3 linked regions of the Rattus norvegicus genome follow. The protein of the gene in region 2 purifies or fractionates together with the protein of the main gene of each other region. This does not show direct contact. Links are inferred from orthologs where the notes say so. Each region holds a gene or a part of one and is shown on either strand. Other genes may lie near its edges.

Evidence for each region. Proteins that work in one complex are often made in the same cells at the same time.
Region 1: the proteins of Nelfe (region 2) and Nelfcd purify together in Homo sapiens (affinity purification with mass spectrometry; 9 studies listed by BioGRID and IntAct, counting the BioPlex papers as one, with this or other methods). This does not show direct contact. The link is inferred for Rattus norvegicus from reciprocal best matches to the Homo sapiens genes NELFE and NELFCD.
Region 3: the proteins of Nelfe (region 2) and Nelfa purify together in Homo sapiens (affinity purification with mass spectrometry; 9 studies listed by BioGRID and IntAct, counting the BioPlex papers as one, with this or other methods). This does not show direct contact. The link is inferred for Rattus norvegicus from reciprocal best matches to the Homo sapiens genes NELFE and NELFA.

What each region holds. Positions count from the first base shown.
Region 1 is NC_086021.1:183,630,562-183,634,791, forward strand, and holds the start of Nelfcd (negative elongation factor C/D), read left to right. Parts: upstream 1-1,406; 5' UTR 1,407-1,440; coding exon 1,441-1,527; intron 1,528-4,230. UniProt on the Homo sapiens protein: Essential component of the NELF complex, a complex that negatively regulates the elongation of transcription by RNA polymerase II.
Region 2 is NC_086038.1:3,980,699-3,984,085, forward strand, and holds the end of Nelfe (negative elongation factor E), read right to left. Parts: intron 3,234-3,387; coding exon 3,159-3,233; intron 3,049-3,158; coding exon 3,011-3,048; intron 2,853-3,010; coding exon 2,521-2,852; intron 2,434-2,520; coding exon 2,289-2,433; intron 2,184-2,288; coding exon 2,129-2,183; intron 1,931-2,128; coding exon 1,828-1,930; intron 731-1,827; coding exon 660-730; 3' UTR 563-659; downstream 1-562. Other genes in the region: Cfb (complement factor B precursor), read left to right, coding at 228-383. UniProt on the Homo sapiens protein: Essential component of the NELF complex, a complex that negatively regulates the elongation of transcription by RNA polymerase II.
Region 3 is NC_086032.1:81,031,936-81,036,293, forward strand, and holds the start of Nelfa (negative elongation factor A), read left to right. Parts: upstream 1-1,534; 5' UTR 1,535-1,593; coding exon 1,594-1,803; intron 1,804-4,358. UniProt on the Homo sapiens protein: Essential component of the NELF complex, a complex that negatively regulates the elongation of transcription by RNA polymerase II.

The DNA.
Region 1 (4,230 bases), on a different chromosome or scaffold from region 2:
TCGTTGGAGTTTAACAGACATTCGTTATTTCCAACATTTTCAGAAAACAAATAAAAATGAGCCTGAAATGAACCCAAAGCAGGGCCCTCCTGAACTGAAAACACCTTTGTCCATTGAGTGGAGATATGTAAAATAGCCCCCTCCACCATCCGCAAAGAAGTCTTTCGGAGTTGTCTCCAGTGCAGCAGGCTCCAGCCTGAACATATCCCTGTCCCCGGCAGAAACCTTCCTCCTGCTGGGCCACCTGTGAGTGTACAGACTGGAAGTCTAGGTAGCTTCTTACCAGACCATGCCCTGCCTGTTCCCCTCTCCCCTCCTGCCCTGCAGCTCCGGTCTCCTTACGCCCCTCCCCCTCGGGTGTAGCAAACGGCTAGACATTCCAGATATATCAAGCAAACAAAAATCCAGATGAACTTTTATAATAACTAAGACCCGCTAACTCCCCACCAACTCTGTAATGCTTCAATACTCCATTGGACTAAATCCTTGCAAGGGGTTGTCAACTCTGGTGGCTCCGGCGTCAACTAAAATGCAAGGTGCCACCAGCTCCTGTGGTGGACTTTCTTTGCCAGGTTGTTTGAAATGGTAAGACAGCCCCTGAGCACCTTGGGAAAGTTTCTTCTGTTATTACAGAGTATTTGCTTCGGTTGCCTAGCATCATTGCGCTGTGGCAAGGATTCGTGGAGCTCCAGGTGTTATCAATGATCCAGGCACTTAGGAGTTATTCAACAAACACTTGTCGAGTGATGGTAGGGAGGAGTAAAATGGCATCTCAGCGCCTGTTATCAGTGCCTGATGACTGTACTTCGTGGCTCTTTTCTCTAGCCTCTCCTCATTGTCTGCATCCAGAGGCCACCGTACTAACCTCAGTGGTGATTTGGGGTCACCTGCTAGGTAGCCTCTCCAGTTATTTTCAGCTTAGGTGTTCAGTGGGTCCTCTTTCCAGGGCCCAGACATGGCTTTAGTAGGGCCTCCTCCACTGGAAGTACGTTTTATATCTCGCTGTGCACTGCATCGAGTAATTTTTGCCCACGGTGAAAAAAATCAGGACATTTCTGAGAGCCTGAGACTCAATGGATGCCTAGCTCGGCTGGTAGCTGCACCGGAGAGGCAAAGCTAAGCTCACTGAAAGTTTCGAAGTCTTTATAGCAACTTGAAGCCAGCTTGCACTTCCGAGTGAGACCCTGTCTTAAAAAGGAAAATAAAAAGCTGTCCTGGAAGTTTTCTACTTAGATGTAAAGCTCTGAGACGTACAGTCTTGCTCTTGAGAAATCCTACAAGGTGTTCCCCCTCCACCGAGAAGGCCAAAGCATGGGCCACGCCCCCGTGTAACCACGCCCCTTGCCAACTCCGCCTCTCCAGCCTTGCCTGAGGCCCAGAACCGCGCGTGCGCCCTTTCATTTGTTGTGTCCGCGCACGCGCAGTGAAGTCGCGGCAAATATGGCGGGTCCAGCGCCGGGTACGATTATGGGAGAAGACTACTTCGGGAATGCGTCTGAGTGGGGTGAAGAGGCGGACGGCGGCCAGGTGAGAAGGCAGTAGGCGTTCCGCCAGGAAGCCGGGTCTCTGCCCTGTCCTCGCGGCTCCTGCGCCGGCCAGAACCGGGTACAGGGGGGCGTCAACACTTGACTCCCTGACCTCCGACCCCGGACCCTAGCAAGGCGGGCCTTGGAGCCGCACTGAGGGGCTTCTGGCGGGTCCTGCCCCATTAGAGACCTCAGTTTTCCATGCACTCCGATTTACAGTGACACCTGGGGCTGACCTCTCTGCCAGGTAGGAGCCATGGTACCTCCTGGCCGGAGGGGCAGAACAGACTCCAAGGAAGAAGAGGGACACAGTGACACAGTGAACAAACTCTAACTCCAAACTCCAGCAGCATCCCGAGGGAGGGAAAACACTCTCTGGGGCTGGACAATCCAAACTCTCTTTTCACTTTTGGATGATTTCATCCATCCTTAGAATACAGGACTTAAGATCTTGTAGCCCTGACTGTCCAGGGTTTGGGTGAGAGATGGGGAACTGGCACCATTCAGTGTCCCAAAAAACATCAGGGTTAGGAAATCAGAGACCCATCCAGGTGTATGATTGACTTAAGCCTCCCATGCTCTTCTGGACAGTGTGCGGGGACCCCGGACTGTTTGCCTTTTCTACAGGAAGCAAGATGAACTTTGAATGAATATAGGATGCAGTGGGGTATACCAGTGGAGTGGTCTGTGGTGGTGCAGTGAGGGCCGTGGAGGAAAAGTGAGAGGTTTCCGGAACTGAGGGAAGTCCTCTGTGGTTGGCTGGCTGATTGGTTGGTTGGTTGCTGGACCGGGAGCTGTCAGTCATCAGCGCAGCCTCCCTGGAGCCTGTAGATTTGCTGACCAGTACAACTTAAGACCCTGGGGGTTGGGGATTTAGCTCAGTGGTAGAGCGCTTGCCTACCAAGCGCAAGGCCCTGGGTTCGGTCCCCAGCTCCGAAAAAAAAAAAAAAAAGAAAAGAAAAGACTCTGGGCGTCCTACATCACTTGGAAACTCAGTGGCAGATATATGGAGTTGGATTTAGCGAACTTGGATGTCGGGCTAAGTGCTTTTGTGTAATAGCTCATTCTAGGCCCTAGAGCAGCAGTTCTCGGCCGGTGGGCCATGACCCCTCTGGGGGTCAACTGGTAGCAAATCGGATATCCTGCATATTTACTTTACAATTCATAACAGTAGCAAAATGCAGTTGTGAAGTAGAGACGAAAGTAATATTATGGGTGGGGTTCCCCACAACATGAAGAACTGTGTTGAGGGGTTGCAGCATTAGGAAGGTTGAGAACCTCTGCTCTAGAGTTCCCATTGAGTGTTAATTAGTAAGTCAGGCAAAAAGACTCAGTACCTTGCCCAGGGCCATAATGGAGGAAGGAAGGAAGACTCAAAATGACATCTGTCGTGTCTGTCCTGCCACACAAACACCAGGCCCTAAGTTCAGAAACTGGCGGCAGCCCTTGTCTGTAACCCAGCACTGGGAAATCCCTGGAGCTCCCTCGACAGCCAGTGGGACCTCGTCAGTGAGAACTTCAAAAATGGGGGTGTGGAGAGAGATACCCAACCTCGACCTCTAACATCTACACACAGACAGTGTACACACAGGAACACCTCAGGAGACCACATGGGCACGAGACAGTACACTGCAGATTAGCTTGGTGGTTGTTGTCTGTGTTTATGTTTTGTGACTGTGGAGGGTTAGGCGTGGCCTGGACTAGAGTCCACTGAATTTCAGTCTGAATGGCTGTGGTTTGACCTGTTGACCCTAACGCGATCTCCCCAATGAGAGTGATGAGCTATCGGAGTGTGAAACCTGCGACTTAGGTGTCCTGAGTAACCGAGTGTGGTTCAGCAGTTGGGAATGTGGTAGTGTGAAAATACTGGACACCCCTGCACACACACACTTTCTTCATCTCTGTTCTCTGACTGTACTTGAAGGGGGCGAAAGTCCAGAGGGATGGAGGATGGAGCCTTGAGCTGGGTCCACCTTCCCTGGTGTGGGGACAGGAAGAGGTGTAGGGAGCGTACAGTGCCGATAAGTCCGGATGATGGAAGCTGAGAGCAGTTGACTTATAGACACGTAAATGAGTTGGCCGCAGGTTGTACACGGAGCTGAGACTGCACAGGTAAGCAGGGCAGAGTTACTCTAGAGCTTGGGATTCTTTTCCTCGCTGAGGGAAACAGGAAACTAAGCAGCTAGGTCAGATTTGTGACTTAATGAGGGTAGCATAGATGTGAAAGGTGATTTCGTGGGGCGACAGATTGAGGCGTGTGGAGGTGTTGCTGCGGGAAGCATACAAGAAAGAAGAGGAGAGAACCTGGACCCTCATAAGGGAGATGGAATGCGGGGGATGGGGCCTGCCTCCAGCAGGAAGTAGGAGGAAGGTGAGAGGACACATCCAAGGTTTCTGGGTGGCTCATGGATGATTAGAGGAGTCCTTTATTGAAGTATCTGTTTCCAGACAAAGACAGGGTCAGTTGAACTTGCAGAGTTCAGAGTCCTGCTAGAATATGGAGTGGAAAGAAGAGTGTTGCCTGCTTGAATCTGATGTGGTCAAGACAGGTCCAGCCAGGTGAAGCTGTAGACAGGGGAGTAGCTTCCTGGCCTGGTATGTCAGAGAAATATTGTTGGTGGGCAACAGGGTCGAAACCTAGTGATGCAGACACGTGAGCGACTCCCAGGGTGAAGGGCAGCCTCTGTGAGCACCCTTTACAGGT
Region 2 (3,387 bases):
CATTGGGGAGATGCTCAGGTGTCACAAAAAAGGAAGCTTGATGTGCACGGCTGATAAAGGTGGCAGAACGGGCCCACCTCATCTGTTCTTAACTGGCCAGTGAAAGCCAGGTTATGTGCACCATAGAAGAGAGAGGAGCTGGCTCCCAGTGCACTTCTTTAGGCCAGCTCAGAAGCTTTCTGGGGTTATGAAGTGTCAAGTGACCATGGCCCTCCTTATCTACACAGGTTGGTGTGATCAGCTGGGGAGTAGTGGATGTCTGCAAAGACCCGAGGCGGCAACAGTTGGTGCCCTCCTATGCCCGGGACTTCCACATCAATCTCTTCCAGGTGCTGCCCTGGCTAAAGGAGAAGCTCAAAGACGAGGACTTGGGTTTCTTATAAGGAGCTTCCTGCTGGGAGGGTGAGGGCAGATTAAAGCAGCTACAATACAAATACAAAGTGTGTTCCACATCTTTTTGGGGTAAGGGAGTGGGGCGTGCACTGGTTAACAACACTGACAGCTGCTTTTGAAGGCTCAACTCCAATCCCAAGTGCTCAAAGACTAGAGGCTGACAGAGGTGAAAAGCTTCTACCCCAGGATTTTACTGAGACCAGCTTGGGGGCATATGAGGCACAAGGAATCCAGCTTCATGTCCTAGAAGCCATCCACAAGGTTTCCTATAGATCGTCACTGTACACAATCTGGGTCCTCTTGTCCCGGTGGCAACCCTTGGGGCTGTTCTGGACAGCTAAGGAGGGAGGAAAGTGACAGTTAAGGTCTGAAGCAGTGGCCGCTTCCATTAGACCTGGGGTCCAGAGCCCTGGCCCTGGTCCACCAGGGCTTACTCTGCCCTCTGGTGGCCACAGTCTCACCCTGGCTTAGAAAACCCAGAGAGTTAAACCCTGAGATCTGTGCAAATGAAAAGATCAGAACGCCTGTGGCCTTGCCCGCTGGGCAACGCTGGCTCCTCCTGGTGTCTACTGTGCTTACTTCTTCTCCAGAAAAATCTGTTTCAGGCAGAATGGGCTCCCCACACTGAGAAATCCCACCCATGGGGACCTCTGTGAACCAGAGTGCTCAGCGTTTCTTTCCTCGTCCTCCTCTCCTGCCCCAGGACTCCCTGTGGGGCTGAGAGGCAGCCTCCTCTTTGGTCTTACATCCTTCTCAGAGCCCAAAGCTTCTGGGGCTGCTCTTGGCTTGGACCCTTCTCACGGTTCCCTTGCCGCAGGCTCCACTGGGCCTAGCAAGCTGGAGGTATGCTCGGCAGACAGCAGAGCCCGGCTTCCTAGCGTTTTTGGTTCTCTAAACCCACCACGGGTCACTTTTATTTCTCCAAAATCCCATCTCTGATGGGTCCAGATGCAACAGAACTGATCTACACCTCCATGCCTGGCTTCCACCTGAGGTCCAGACCCACAGTACCAGGTCCAGACAGTGCTCCAGCTCAGAGGACACACTGGCTCCTACTTTCCTGTCTGTGACGCTCACTACTGGGGGACCCTGGTTTTTGTTTTTGTTTTTTGTTTTTTTTTTCTTTTCGGAGCTGGGGACCGAACCCAGGGCCTTGCGGTTGCTAGGCAAGCGCTCTACCACTGAGATAAATCCCCAGCCCCTTAAATAAATGGCTTTTCAAAACAAGATTTCTCTGTGCAACCCTGGCTGTCCTGAACTGAAAAGGGAACCTTTTAACGCTGTTCTCCTTCCCTCACCTGACAGATACCCTGGCAATTCTCCATCCTCTGCCTATGTGAAGACCCTGACCTTTGGCACTTTAGGCCACTCAAAGCTGTAGAGGGAACAGGAAAAGCTGTGCTGCAGGAGGGGGAGGGAGGGCCTCATCCTTACCAAGGGAGCCCCAGACAGATTTGCCAGTAGCAGCGTCCAGCATGGGCTGTTTTCGGGCTATGTTGACTTTGAGCTGCACAGATTCCACCTGGGTCCCATTGAGCTGTGGGACAAGAGGGGAGGGGACAGAGGATGGGTATTACATGGAGCCAGTTGCTGCCACCCTGGGAGGAGACCAAACAGGCATGTGAGGATGCAGGTTTTCTTGGTCAGGAGGAAAGTTTCCTCTAGGAGCAGGCATTGTTAGGAAGAAGCAGGAGGATGACAGGAGGGTGGGAGGAGCGGTCTGAGAAGTCCCAACCTCAGCAACAGCCTGATCTGCTGACTCCATCTTCTCGTAGGTGACGAAGGCACAGCTGGGTGAGAGAAGGCAGAGTCAGGGGGCTCCATGGGGCTCCACGGACCCAGTGACCCCCATGCTGCACACCAAGCGGCTCCTTCCCAGGATGCTCAATCCTTACTTTCTGGGTGGGTCCATGGAGAGGTCGATGATATTTCCAAAGGGAGAGAAGGCCCCTCGGAGGAGGGTGGGCGTCATGTCCTCTCCATACACATACAGAGTGTTCCCCTTTCGAGGGGCCCTCCGTTCGGGGAATGAGTCTGACCCTGTGGGTTAGGAACCATAGTCATTACCGAGTCCACATCACCTTCTACTTAGCGTGACCCACCTAAACCCTGGCCAAGACCACTCACTACGGAAAGGGCCCTCTCGGTCTCGCTCCCGGTCCCTGTCTCTGTCCCGCTCTTTGTCTCTGTCCCGGTCCCGGTCTCTGTCTTTGTCTTTGTCCCGTTCTCTGTCTCGATCCCGGTCTCTGTCTCGTTCTTTGTCCCGGTCCCTATCTCGGCTCCGATCATGACTTCTGTCCCGGCTGCGGCTTCGGGGAGGGGAGGCTGAGGATCGGGCACCGCTGTGTTCTTCATAGCTCCAGTCAAAACCTCGAGGTGGGCCTTCACCAGCCCCAGGGGCCTCTGCTTCTTCTCCATCTTGTCCCAGTTCCCGAAGCCGATCACTAGAAGACACAAAGCTGGGGAGAGGAAGATTACGGTGAGGATCAAAGGGGATTCCACCTTCCTCCAGACCTTGCGTAGTCAACCATGTCTCTGCAGCTGGCCCCTTCCACTCTAGCCCTGAACTTTCCAGTCACGCTGGCCTTTGGCCCCATACCAAACGATGCTCTCTAACCTTTCATACAGAGATTTCCTTTGGGGCCGTCTGGATGGCTGGGGGAAAAGAAAGGACAGAGAACAATTAAAATAACTCCCAGGCACCGGAGTGGGTGCACAATATGTGGGTCTCTTGCCCCCGATCCCAGCCCCACAGAAACCATTACCTCCTGTAGGTCCTCGTCAGCAGACATGCTCCTCTGGAACGGCTGGAAGGTGGGGACAGGCCCCTTCTCTGGGTCCTGGAAAGTGGTAGACACCCATGTTATTGTGGACCAGGAGAACTCTTCCCCCTCTCCTCGGCTTCTCTGTTAGACTTCTTATGGTGATGTGTTGGTCTTTTTGATTGATATGTTTTTTTGTTTTTGTTTTTTGTTTTTTTTTTGTTTTTTGTTT
Region 3 (4,358 bases), on a different chromosome or scaffold from region 2:
TTGAAATTCTGGGAATTTTTCAGAGGGTATATAAATGCTCAAGCCCCGACAGGTGGAGTTGGTGACTGTTAGCCACTGGGGTGGTGGTGGTGGTGGTGGTGGCGGCTTGTTAGTAGTGATGCTCAAAGAAAAAACAAGAAGAAATCAGATTCAGGGATCTCTATCCCCCCCATCCTAATTTATCTAGTGATAGAGAAACAGTGATAAGAGGTGAAACAGATGGGGGTGGTGGTGAAGGATAGGAAAAAGAACCCACAGAGTAGCAAAAACCTACTCCAAGTACTTAAAGCCTCAGCAAAGACCACTACACTACAGCTGTCACCAAATGCTGGATCCCTGAGGTTTCCAACCCCTTGAATCGGGCAACTCCATGATCTCTTCTCTGTTAGTAACTCTTTAGAGCACTTTAGGAAGTGGTCTTGTGAGTCTTACACCTTTCCCTGGTACATTTAGTTACCATCCTAAGTCTTTTTTTTTTTTTTTTTTTGGTTCTTTTTTTTCGGAGCTGGGGACCGAACCCAGGGCCTCGAGCTTCCTAGGCAAGCGCTCTACCACTGAGCTAAATCCCCAACCCCACCATCCTAAGTCTTAAGAGCTGTTTTCCTCTCTTCATGAAGTAACATTTCATTAGGAGAAAGCAATATACATTTATATATTCTCATTCTGTGGCTCAAAAGGGACTGTAACTGGCGGCAATCCTCCTGTCTTAGTTCCCTGATTTCCAGGGATTACAGACATGAACCATGACTCTCAGAATACTTAATGTTTTAGAAGATGGGTTTTACTATTTTGCACAAGATGGCCTCTACCTCCTGCGCCCAACTGATCCTTCTCAATCTCACGAGTATCTGTGTCCAAGAAGTACCCTACTGCCACTTTTGCTGTCATTGCCCTGGGCTTTAATCCTAGTAGTTGGGAGACAGAGGTAGGTGGATCTCTGAATTTGAGGCCAGCTTGCTCTACAGAGTGAGTTCGAAGGACAGACATTGTCTACATTGTCAAGTGTTCTGATAAAGATACACTACAGGGTGAATTTAGGCTTCTCAGCAGACGCAGAGTATCAGCCTTTGAAGGACTGTACTTCGAACTACTTTGCAGTTCTCCTGATGATTAAACCGCAGGCATCTCACACTCGGAACGGACCTGTGCGCGGACCCGAGGCAGCATTGTCTGCTGGACAAGGGGAAGAGCATCAGGCTTGTGGAGAACGTGGTTAGTACCCTCTTCAGACCTTTATCCACTGGGCAGCATACCGGGAAACCGAACAGTCGCACCTCACTCTGGGCGATGCATCTCTAGGGCACACGGATGCGACACAACACAATGTCGGGCTACGTCATTGCCCGGCGCCCTAGTGGGTGCCGCCATCATGCGTTACGGAAACCCACAGTCCTTTTCGCGGAGACTCATCGCTCACTCCCGTTCTTGCGCCTCGGCTCGTAGCCTCCAGAAGGCGGGGCCATTTGCAATTGTATTTGTCTGTCACTCGAGGCCCCGCCCCACGCCAACGGGTGCCGCCATGTTGGGGGTCCTCGCTGGGGACACGTAGGCGTCCGCGTAAGATGCCGGCCGACGCGCGCTGCCGCCGCCAAGATGGCTTCCATGCGGGAGAGCGACACGGGCCTGTGGCTGCACAACAAACTGGGCGCCACGGACGAGCTGTGGGCGCCACCCAGCATCGCGTCCCTGCTCACCGCTGCGGTCATCGATAACATCCGCCTCTGCTTCCACCGCCTCTCATCGGCTGTGAAGCTCAAGCTGCTGCTCGGGACGCTGCATCTTCCGCGCCGCACGGTGGATGAGGTGAGGACGCAGGCCAGCCTCTCTCCGGCCGGAGCACCGCTCCTGCCTCCCGCCAGCACCTGAGCCGTACCTTGCCCTTCTCCCGCCGGCCCCGCTCAGCTCCGTGTCCGCGCCGTTGGTCTTGCCCACCCGGCCCCAACACCTTAGTACCTCCAGCCGCTGGACGCTGTCTGCGTTCGGGGGTCGTGGGGCCATGGCCACAACAACCCTCAACCAGGCCGGCCCCTCCCGGAGTGCTGGACACTGCAGTTCCGAAGCTCCTTTTGGTTCGGGACTGTCAGTGCAACTTTCCATGTGACTGCTGACCTTAATTTTGTTGCTTTTGCCTTACCAAGTATCAGTCTACTTGGCTTCATCTCTATTCTGTGGCTTCTTTTCAGTGCATTCTTGTTCCACATTGTATCTGTCTGTCTAACATATACGATATTTTGCAAATACATACACAGATAATGTGTATAGAGTGCCACTGTGTAGCCCAGGTTGATCTCAAACTTAGGGTTCTCCAGCCTCAATCTCTGGAGGGTTGGGATTGCAGGTCTGGGCCACCACATCTCATAGCAAAAAACACCGAAGTGCCTTAGTTTTAAACACTTCCAGTTATTATTTTTATATCATTATATCATTTTTACATCATTTGTTTTTGTTGCAGCGCTATATCGTGTACACAGAACTGCATCTTTATTCAGTTTAACAAATACTGATAATTAAATGACCCACTCCCGTTACCTCCACACAAGAAAACAAGGCTGGACCCTCCAAAGCACCTCCCTTCTTCTCTCTTTCCCGCAGGAAGTTTTTTGGTTTGTTTTTGTTTGGTTTGTTTTTTGAATTTACCATGTTATATTCATTCTCCAAGTGGTGTGGGTGTGTCTTCTGTTGATAGGCACCTGGAACAGATTCATCCAAGTTATTGCAGACAGAGTTTAATTTACTCTGCATTATGGGATTCCGTTCTTCAAGCCTCTCTTTCCCTGTGGTAGGTGGCTGTTTGGCCTTGTTCAGGAAGTACTCCAATTTTGAGGGGAGAGGGAGGCACCTGTGGTCTCTCAGCACTTACTATCTCTCTCTCGTTCTTCAGTCTGCCATTGACTGGGACTGATGGTTGTGAAACTGAGTTCAGTTTTACAAATGGCTGTGTGATGGTCCAGCACCACCTGACAGTCTTTTTCTGTCCTGTTGCTTCTGCCTCCCTGTCTGTCTGTCTGTCTGTCTGTCTGTCTGTCTCTCTCTCTCTCTCTCTCTCTCTCTCTCTCTCTCTCTCTTTTGTCATTTGTGTGTCTTGCTAATAACCAGCCAATAACCAGCCAAGCTACTTACTGTCACTTTATTGTTAGTGTGTTTTGATGTGTGACGTACTGGGCAAACCCTTTGCTTAATCTTCAGGAATAGTTTCAGCTTTTCTTGGCCCCTGGCACTCCTGTCTGTCAGTCTGTGTCTTAGTGTGTGTCATTTTTGTGTTTACATGTTCATTTATGTGTACACATCTCTGCAAGTATCTGTGAGGCCAGGGTCCGGCTTAGGTGTCTACCTCAGCTGCTCTTTATTTATTTATTTATTTATTTATTTTTTGGTTCTTTTTTTCGGAGCTGGGGACCGAACCCAGGGCCTTGCGCTTCCTAGGCAAGCGCTCTACCACTGAGCTAAATCCCCAACTCCTCAGCTGCTCTTTCGTTGTGAGACATTTTCATTGACTCTGGAGCTAACCAGCATGCCCCATCTCAATCTCTAGCATTGTATGTACCGACTGAGAAGGCTTTTTATATGAATATGGAGATCTGAACTTAGATCTTCAGACTTGACTTGGGAAACACTCTATCAACTGAGCCATGTCCTCAACTCATTGTGTAAATAAAATAGTCTCCATTATTAGTTGCTTTTTAGTAAGTGTTTGTTGCAGTTTTCCTCTTAACTCAGCTAGCTCCCATTTATTTAATCAGTTCTAAGGGCACAACAACTGAGCAGTATTACTCCATTTTAATCTTCTAAACTAATCTGGCTACCCCCTAGCCAAAATCCCTGAGATACTTGCATTTTAGTACTAATCTGGTTCTCTGGGCTCCAGGTCTGATCTCATGAAGCCTCCTGGACTCCCCATAGCAACTTCCCACTTCCTCTCTCTCTTTTCCCTTCCCTCCCTTCTCCTACTCGGTCATTTGCTGATCAGCTTTTATTGACAAATCAGAGAACAAATGGGGAGCAATGTTTATACAACATCGAGGAAGGAGATTCTTAGAATAAGAATTACAACCAATGTGGGGGGGGCATAGAAATTAGCATTTGAATAATACATGGATAATATCGACATAGTGCACAATAACATTATGCCTACACTTAACCTAGAGGTTTGGGGAGTTAGAACTGTTAAGTTCTGTGGTTATCCTATATTCATACATGTCTTTTTTTTTTTTTTTTTGCTAATGGTATATAGAAATACTCTAAGTAAGGATTGAAGAGCACCTGTGCTGAGAGCAGCCTGTAACTGTTTCGGTGTAATCAGGGTCTGTTGGTTCCTTTTTGTTTTACCTTATGCTCACTGTCTACTTGTACTGTTGACC